Linked DNA regions of Mus musculus: region 2 is reported to be linked to region 1. The links are microRNA targets in miRTarBase. Many come from high-throughput screens and were not tested one by one. Region 1 holds a microRNA gene; the other region holds the end of a gene's coding sequence.

Region 1 (4,068 bases):
CTTGGTGGGTATCACATGAATCGCATGCTGAACTCTAACACATCAAGAAGTTAAACATGAATTTGAACTCCTCATCTTCCTAGCTCTGGCAAGAGTGCTCACCTCCTAACTGAGATATAGCTCTGGCCATTCCTATGAATGTGTTTGCATGCGTGTATATGCATATTCATATAGAGAAGTGAATATGCACACAACTATACACACATGCACATTTTTGGTGGGCATAAGATGAATCCCATGCTGGTCATGAACTCATCATGAAATTCAGCACAAATTTGAACTCCTGATCCAACTGACTCTGTCAAGGGATTTCTCCTGCTGAGTGAGACCTCTCCCCATTCAGTACTGAGGAATCTTAAAACTCTAAGTCACACGTCATTCAAATGGATCGATGAGTTGCACTGATGTTTGTGTGTGTGTTTCTGTTTGTGTCTGTGTACATGTATATATTTGTGTAGATAGGTACAGCCATATACTCAAATCCACACACAATAGAAACAGATACAGATAGGGATACATAGGGGGCATCACATGAATCCCAGGCATATCTCTAAGTCATCATGAAGTAAAGCATGAATTTGAACTCCTGATCCACAGTCTTTCACACCTGGTGAGTAAAACCATTCACTGTCCCACTACTGCATAATCTTGAAAACTTTAAGTCACATATCATTCAAATGTATAAATGAATGCAATTTTTCCTGTGTGTATGTGCTTGCATATACACGTGTGTTTTTGTTATGTATATTCATGTCAACACATGCAATGCACATACAAGTAAGCACACATGCACATACATGGGTGGCATCACATGAATACCAAGATAATCTCCAAATGAAGTTAAGCATGAAGTTGCAATCCTTATCCTCCTGACTTTGTCAATCTTTTACACCTGGTGAGTGAGTCCATTCAATGTCCCCTATTGCATAATCTCTAAAACTCTACATCACTTATCATTCAAAGGGATTGGCGAATGCCATTCCTGTGTCTGTGTATGTGTGCTTGCGTTTATACATGTGTGTGTATGTTATGTATATTCAAATATAGACATGAACATGCACACACAACTATACACACATGCACATACATGGAGGAATCACAGGCTGATCTCTCATGAGGATAAGTATGAATTTGAACTCCTGATACTCTTAACTCTAGCAAGCATTTTCACTCTAAGTCACTTATCACTCAAATGGATTGATGAGTGCCATTCCCATGTGTCTGTGTGCTCATATGTGTCTTATGTGTGCGTGTATGTATATGTATATCATATTCACACATGTACATGTACACACACATCAACACATACACACATTCATAGGGGCAATCACATGAATGCCAGGATGACCTCTAACTCATCATGCCTTTACCATGAACTTGCACTCCTGATCTTCCCGACTCTACCAAGGGTTTTCCCGTGGTTTGTGAGACCTCACCCTGGCCCAGTCATACATAACCTCCAAAGCAGTAGGTCACATATCATTCAAATGGATCCGTGAGGGCCATTCTCGCATGTCTGTGTGCATGTGTGTATAGGTGTGTGTATGTATATGCATAAAATATACACACATATACATGCACGCACTTATGCACAAAGGCACATGCATAGGGGCCATCACATTATTCCAGGATGATCTCTAACTGCTCATGAAGTTAAGCATGAATTTGCACTCCTGAGACTCCTAACTCTGGCAAGCAGTTTTCATCTGGTAAGTGAGATGTTTTGCTATCCCATGAATATACACTCAATGAAACTCTAAGCATGCATAAATCAAATGGATGACTACCATGTGTGTTTGTGTGCACATGTATGTGTCCATATGTGTGTGTATATGTGTATGTATGTATGTATATATATATATATATATACACATATATATATATATATATATATGCATGTTCATATACCCACATTTACATGCACACGTACCTATACACATATACACATACACGGGGACAATCACAGAAATTCCAGGCTGTTCTCTAACTCATCATGAAGTTAAACATGAATTTGAACTCCATATTCTCCTCCCTCTGGCAACAATATTCACCTCCTAACTGAGACATAGTTCTGGCCATTCCTGTGAGTATGTGTGCATACAGCTATGTGCATATTCATGTAGAGAAGTGAATATGCACACAGCTATACACACATGCACATTCTTGGAGGGCATCACATGAATCGCATGCTGATCTCTACTCATCATGAATTAAATATGATTTTGAACTCCTCATCCTCCTGACTCTGGCAAGAGTACTCACCTCCTAACTGAGCCATAGCTCTGGCCCAGTACTGCATAAGCTCTAAAGCTCTAAGTCACATACCATTCAAAAGGATATATGAGTGGCATTCCTGTGCGTGCATGCGTGTATATGCATATTCATATAGAGAAGTGAATATGCACACAACTATACACACATGCACATTCTTGATGGACATCACATGAGTCGCATGCTGAACTCTAACTCATCATGAAGTTAAACATGAATTTGTACTCCAGGACCACCTGACTCTGGCAAGGGATTTCACCTGCTGAGTGAGACCTCTCCCTATTCAGTACTGCAGAATCTTAAAACTCTTAGTCACACGTCATTCAAATGGATCGATGAGTTGCATTCATGTTTGTGTGTCTGTGTACATGTCTATGCGTGTGTAGATATGTATATTCATATACACAATCCACACACAGGTACACGCATGTACACATACATGGGGGCATCACATGAATCCCAGGCAGATTTCTAAGTCATCATGAAATAAAGCATGAATTTGACCTCCTGACCTCCTGATTCTAACAAGCATTTTTAATATGATGGGTGATAACTCTCCCTGACCTAGTCACACATAATCTCCAAAGCTCTCAGTCACATAGATTGATGAGTGAGTGCCATTCCTGTGTGTCTATGTGCTCATATGTGTCTTATGTGTGCATGTATGTATATCATATTCACACATGTACATGTACACACACATCAACACATACACACATACATAGGGGCAATCACATGAATGCCAGGATGACCTCTAACTCATCATGCCTTTACCATGACCTTGAACTCCTGATTATCTTGACTCTGGCAAGGGTCTTTACTTGGTGAGTGAATCCTCTCCCTGGCCCAGTCATACAGAATCTCTAAGACTCTAAGACACATATCATTCAAATAGATCGATGAGTGGCAGTTTTGGGTTTGTGTGCATGCTTGTATGGGTATGTGCGTATGTATATGTATACTCATATACACACATGCACATGCACACATACATATACACACAGGCACATACACTGGGGGCATCACATGAATCAGAAGCTGATCCCGGACTCAACATGAAGTTGAGAATGAATTTCGACTCCTGATCCTCCTGACTCTGGCAAGATTTCCACCTTGTGAGTGAGAGCACTCACTGGCCCAGTACTACATAATCTCTAAAACTCTAAGTCACATATCATTCAAATGAATAAATGAGTGTCGTGTGTGTGTGTGTGTGTGTGTGTTGCGTGCGTGTGTATGTGTGTGTGTATGTATACATATATTCATATACACACATGCACATGCACACACACGTAAACACACATGCACATACATGAGGGGCATAACATGAATGTCTGGATGATCACTAACTGAAATTGAGCATGAATATGAACTCCTGATCCTCCTGACTCTGTCAACAACTTTCACCTGGTGAGTGAGACCGTTCATTGACACACTACTGCATAATCTATAAGACTCTAAGTCACATATCATTCAAATGGATCAATGAGTGCCATTCCTGTGTTTATGTTTATGTTTTTGTGTTTCCGTGCATGCGTGTGTATATGGGTGTGTATGTATATGTATATTCATATAGACACATATACATGCACACACAAGTATACACACATGCACATATATAGGGGGCATCACATGAATCCAGGATGATCTCTTACTCCTCATGAAGTTAAGCATGATTTTCAACTCCTATACCTCCTGACTCTAACAAGGGTTTTCACCAGGTGTGTGAGAATTGACACTGGCCCTGTCATACATAATCTCCAAAGGTCTAAGTCACATATCATTAAAATGCATCGA
Region 2 (4,068 bases), not on the chromosome of region 1:
CCACACTCCTTTCCCGAGAGTCTAGGAACTAAAATGAAGTGAGAAGAGAGATTCACTGCCCAGCGCCAGGCACACACCCAGAGTCTGAGCTCTTGGGCGGCTGAGGCCAAGGGAACAAAAGCTGAGGGCCAGCCTGGCTGCATTGCAAGACCTTGTCTCTAAAAAGAAAGGAAAAAAAGTTGAGACTTCTCTGTCTGGGAAGCAGGTAAGTCAGTGGCCCGGGGCTGGCAGGCAGTGATGCCCTGAAGGACCAGAGCCAGTTGCCCGAGCCAGCACCTGGGTCCTGAGCTTGGGCCCCACCAACGGTCTTGCTTTGTCTCTCCAGGCCTGGTCCAGATCCCTGTGAGCATGTACCAGACTGTGGTAACCAGCCTCGCCCAGGGCAACGGGCCGGTGCAGGTGGCCATGGCCCCAGTGACCACCAGGATATCGGACAGCGCAGTCACCATGGATGGCCAGGCTGTGGAGGTGGTGACCTTGGAACAGTAGCATGGAGCTCTATCATGGCAGCGTTTTCTAGTCTACTGCAGAATTTTTTACATGTTTGCAGAGGTGCAATCAAATGGAATTAAGTCTCTCGACTTGGAAAGAAAGTTTTGGTAACCTTTTTTTAAGAAGGAAGAAAGGCAGCAGATTTTGGAATCACACTTTTTTAAAGCACCACTCTGGGATCTGGTGGAATGAACGCCACCGATTTCACTGTCCCAAAAAGCCAAATTGTGGCCAGACTTCTTTGTGCAGAAATGTGTGTATACTTACGTGTGTGTACGTGTGAGTGTGAATATATGTATATGTGTACATATGGACATACACATTTACATATATGTATAAAGTATATATGTACATACATACATATGTATGAAACCTGCATGGAATTACCTGTATGAAATCAAGGTGAACTGTGGGAACAAGAACCCACCCAGATTCGTGGGTGGTAGGGTACATGACCAAACACAGTCACCTGGTTTTCGTTCATACCAGGGTCATGCATTGAGCTACTGACAGACTCAGGCGGAGGTGACCACGTCCTTCACCAAAGCTGCCTCCCAGTGGCCGCCTAGACCTCTGCTAGATTCACCGAAGGAAGGAAGATCCAGGACACAGCGTGGTCCAGAGAGTGCTTGTGAAGTCCAGGGACAGAGAGTGCGTGCGCACATGTGCGCTTTGCCAGCAGAGACACACGGCAGCTGGCCCAGGTGCTGACCTTGCCACAGGCAGGTAAACGCCCTGCAGGCTCCTGGCAGGGGCAAGAAATCGTTCCTCAGCCTCCATCTTCTCCCTTCCCAGGAACCCTCAGTCTCACGACTATTCAAGAGTTGCTTGGTTGTAAGGTCAGTCCTGTTACAAACTGAAGGTGACAGAAGTGTTAAGGGTCTGAGGAGTGTTCATGGAGCAGGCGGGTGTAAGTGCAGGGTGTGTGTGTGTGTGTGTGTGTGTGTGTATGAGTAATGGAGAAAATGGGAAGATTATAGGAGAGCAAAATAGGAAGGAGGGAGAAAACTCTTCATAAATCAGGGTGCGCCGTGGGAACCGTGTTCTCCAGCTGTCTGCAGCTGTATTTCAGCAGAGGAGACTGCCTCACACAGGACCTCTGCGCAAAGGCTGGCCGTCACAGATGTGTCAGAAGACTCTGTGAGGACTTTTCCCAGGCACATCCTGGCGGCACAGGCCTGGGACAGCTTTCCTGCTCACAGTGTGGCTTGCACTGAGCAGTCATTGTCACTGTGAGCTTCTGTGCTTTCCAGCCACAAGCCCTGAGTCTCCCGTGGCTCATTCATCTGATGTCTTGACAAGCCAAATCTCCACTCCTGGCGTGCAGGGACTCTTCCTCCTTCCTGCCAGCCCTCTCCCGTGCGTGATAGTGTATTTAATGTGGTGTTTTTGGTTTTTTGTTTTTTAATGAGACATTAAAAGATTCTTCATGTCTTGCTCAGCCTTTGAGAAAAGTTTCCAATTCTTATATTTGCTTGTTTTATATAAAACTATTCAATGTTCTTTGTATGTTCTTTTCTGTATGTGATAAGGGAGGGGTGGGAAATTTGCATATCAATGTCCTGGTTCTACAATTGGTTACTTTTTTTTTTTTTTTAAACTGTGAAGCTGTCCAGGGGCTTTAAGGCCCGTGTTCCTTTGTGGTGAAATAAGCCTCCCGATAGTTTGAGAAATTGCCAAGAAGATAAAAGCAAGATCCCAGCAGCAGAGCATGGAATCTGTGTTGTTCTCCATTCTGTCTAAACTGCCTCATTCAATAAATAGTTTAATGTGGCGACAAAAAGTGCCCCTCTCTCTAGCAGCCTTGGCCACTTGGGCTACAGGGCTCTTTTGGGGTGTGGCTCATTGTCCTTTACAAAAGACATGCACTAGAGGTCTCTAGCCTGGACCACGCTCTAGGAACTCCAGGAGGGAGGAGACCTGTCCGCTCCCGAGTGCTGGGTGAGCCCACCAGGCCTGAGGATGTCTGTCTTCTGTATACCAGGTCTCTGGAACAGTCGCACTTCAGAAAGCCTCAAGGTGGTCTGAAGGTTCTACTCTGAAATCTGTTTTAGGTGTTTATTTGGCACCATATTAAAAGACCTTGGTGACCCCTGCATCTTAAAAGGGCTTCCCAAGTGAGTGAGTGAGTGTGTTTGATGCAGGAAATGTCTTCAGAGCAGAAGGTCCAAGCCCTGTGTTGCTATCTGCATCCTTGTTTCTTGGTTTCACACACACCACACTCACTGTTTTAATGTGTGTGTCACAGCTGGATCCCACCACGCCCTAACTCGGGCCCTTCCCACGGCCTCTATGTCTCCTCAAGAGCTGTGCCTCATCTTCCCCTTGAGTGCCTTTCTCTGCCATTTTTGTTTGTAGATGTCTCCGGCTGATGGGATTATAGTCATCGAATGAGGATGCGGTTTCCCTTGGGGCTTAGCCTTGGCTCAGTACTGTCAAGTACCAGCTTCTATCCCTTTTTATATAGATGGTACACCGCCATCCACGTTCACCAGGGAGGATGTGCCAGGAAGGAATGACTGCGGCTGCGCAGAGCACAGCTTCTCTAGAGACCCTCCTACTCAGCCTTCCCGGGATGCTTGCTGCTAGCTCCCTTGGTTTACAAGCCAAACCCAGACCGTGCCTTCCCAAGAGCTCGTGAGCTGTGGCTCCCGAGGGGCTGGCGCATGGCTTCTCTGTCACTTCTCCCCAAGCAGCTGACCAGGGAGAGCCACCTAAGTCCAGTGAGTAAGAGACGCAGTGGGGTAGAGGTGGGCATGAGACAAAGTGGCAAACAGCTGTCTGACGGGCACCTTTCCCAAAGACAAATGGGCTTTGCTGCCTTCAAAATTCCCAGCAAATGGGAGAAGTCAGGTTTTTATATGAAATCTGATTTTATTAGCAGCATAAAACATCCAGGCATACCAAACTATCTTGTCAGATGGATCTGACCTGAGGGTCTATTACGTTAGATTCATGAATATTAGCATGTCCCAGGTAAATAAAGTTTGGCATGGTCCTGTGCGGTGGCTTGGCAGGCAAAAAGCCTGATGACCAGAGTTGAATTCCTGAAGCTCACACAGGATGGAACTGATTCTCTGGGGTTGTCCTCTGACCTCCTCTACATATGTGACGAGACACTTGTACACGTGCACATATGCATACAAGCACAAATGAATAGATGTTTTTTTAAAACTTGGCAGTTCTCCGAGAAGGAAGAGTGGGGCTAGGACTTTAGCTCAGGGACAGAGCACTCCCCCGGCATGCACATGTGAAAGAGAAGACCATGGACAGGTCCTTACAGCTCCGTGTGCTGAGGCCTGCTAGGGTCGGAGCAGTATAAGTGTGGTAGATACAAGGATCCACCATGTAGCTCACCACCGGATTCACAGAAGCCTGCCAGTCTAGGAATGCTTGGTGACCTTGCAGCTCAAGGTGTCCCCTGGTGGTGCTGTGACTCCTGGAGTCACCTACACTCCCATGACCAAGCTAAGGAGATCTCTGGAAGAATAGCTCAGGCACAACCCAGGGTAGGTGGGTGCCTATCAAGAAGAAACCCAGCTTCATTGTAGAGCAGGGTCCATCCCCATACACATG

Evidence for each region. The annotated mature microRNA mmu-miR-466e-3p reads UAUACAUACACGCACACAUAAGA and lies in region 1 at 1,239-1,261, opposite strand. An mRNA with a match to its seed (bases 2 to 7 or 8) in the 3' UTR can be bound and repressed. Matches are read on the target gene's strand: a 7mer-m8 pairs with bases 2 to 8, a 7mer-A1 pairs with bases 2 to 7 and ends in A, and an 8mer does both.
Region 2: the mRNA of Nrf1 is a reported target of mmu-miR-466e-3p. Seed matches in the 3' UTR shown: 8mer at 785-792, 8mer at 823-830 and 7mer-m8 at 854-860.

Annotation. Positions count from the first base shown.
Region 1 is chr2:10,471,461-10,475,528 of GRCm38, reverse strand. It overlaps Mir466b-1 (microRNA 466b-1), which reads right to left and starts at 1,310; the gene lies at 1,229-1,310. All of the region lies in intron 10 of Sfmbt2 (Scm-like with four mbt domains 2), which reads right to left. Mir669d-2 (microRNA 669d-2) reads right to left here and starts at 3,885; the gene lies at 3,800-3,885. Mir466f-3 (microRNA 466f-3) reads right to left here and starts at 3,576; the gene lies at 3,483-3,576. It also overlaps Mir297a-2, Mir466o, Mir467c, Mir669a-3 and Mir669k.
Region 2 is chr6:30,151,189-30,155,256 of GRCm38, forward strand. Nrf1 (nuclear respiratory factor 1) reads left to right here. Exons shown (of 12, transcript NM_001164226.1): 12 at 326-2,270. The coding sequence ends at 489. Among named protein-coding and RNA genes, the nearest start is that of Mir182, 13 kb to the right of the region's middle.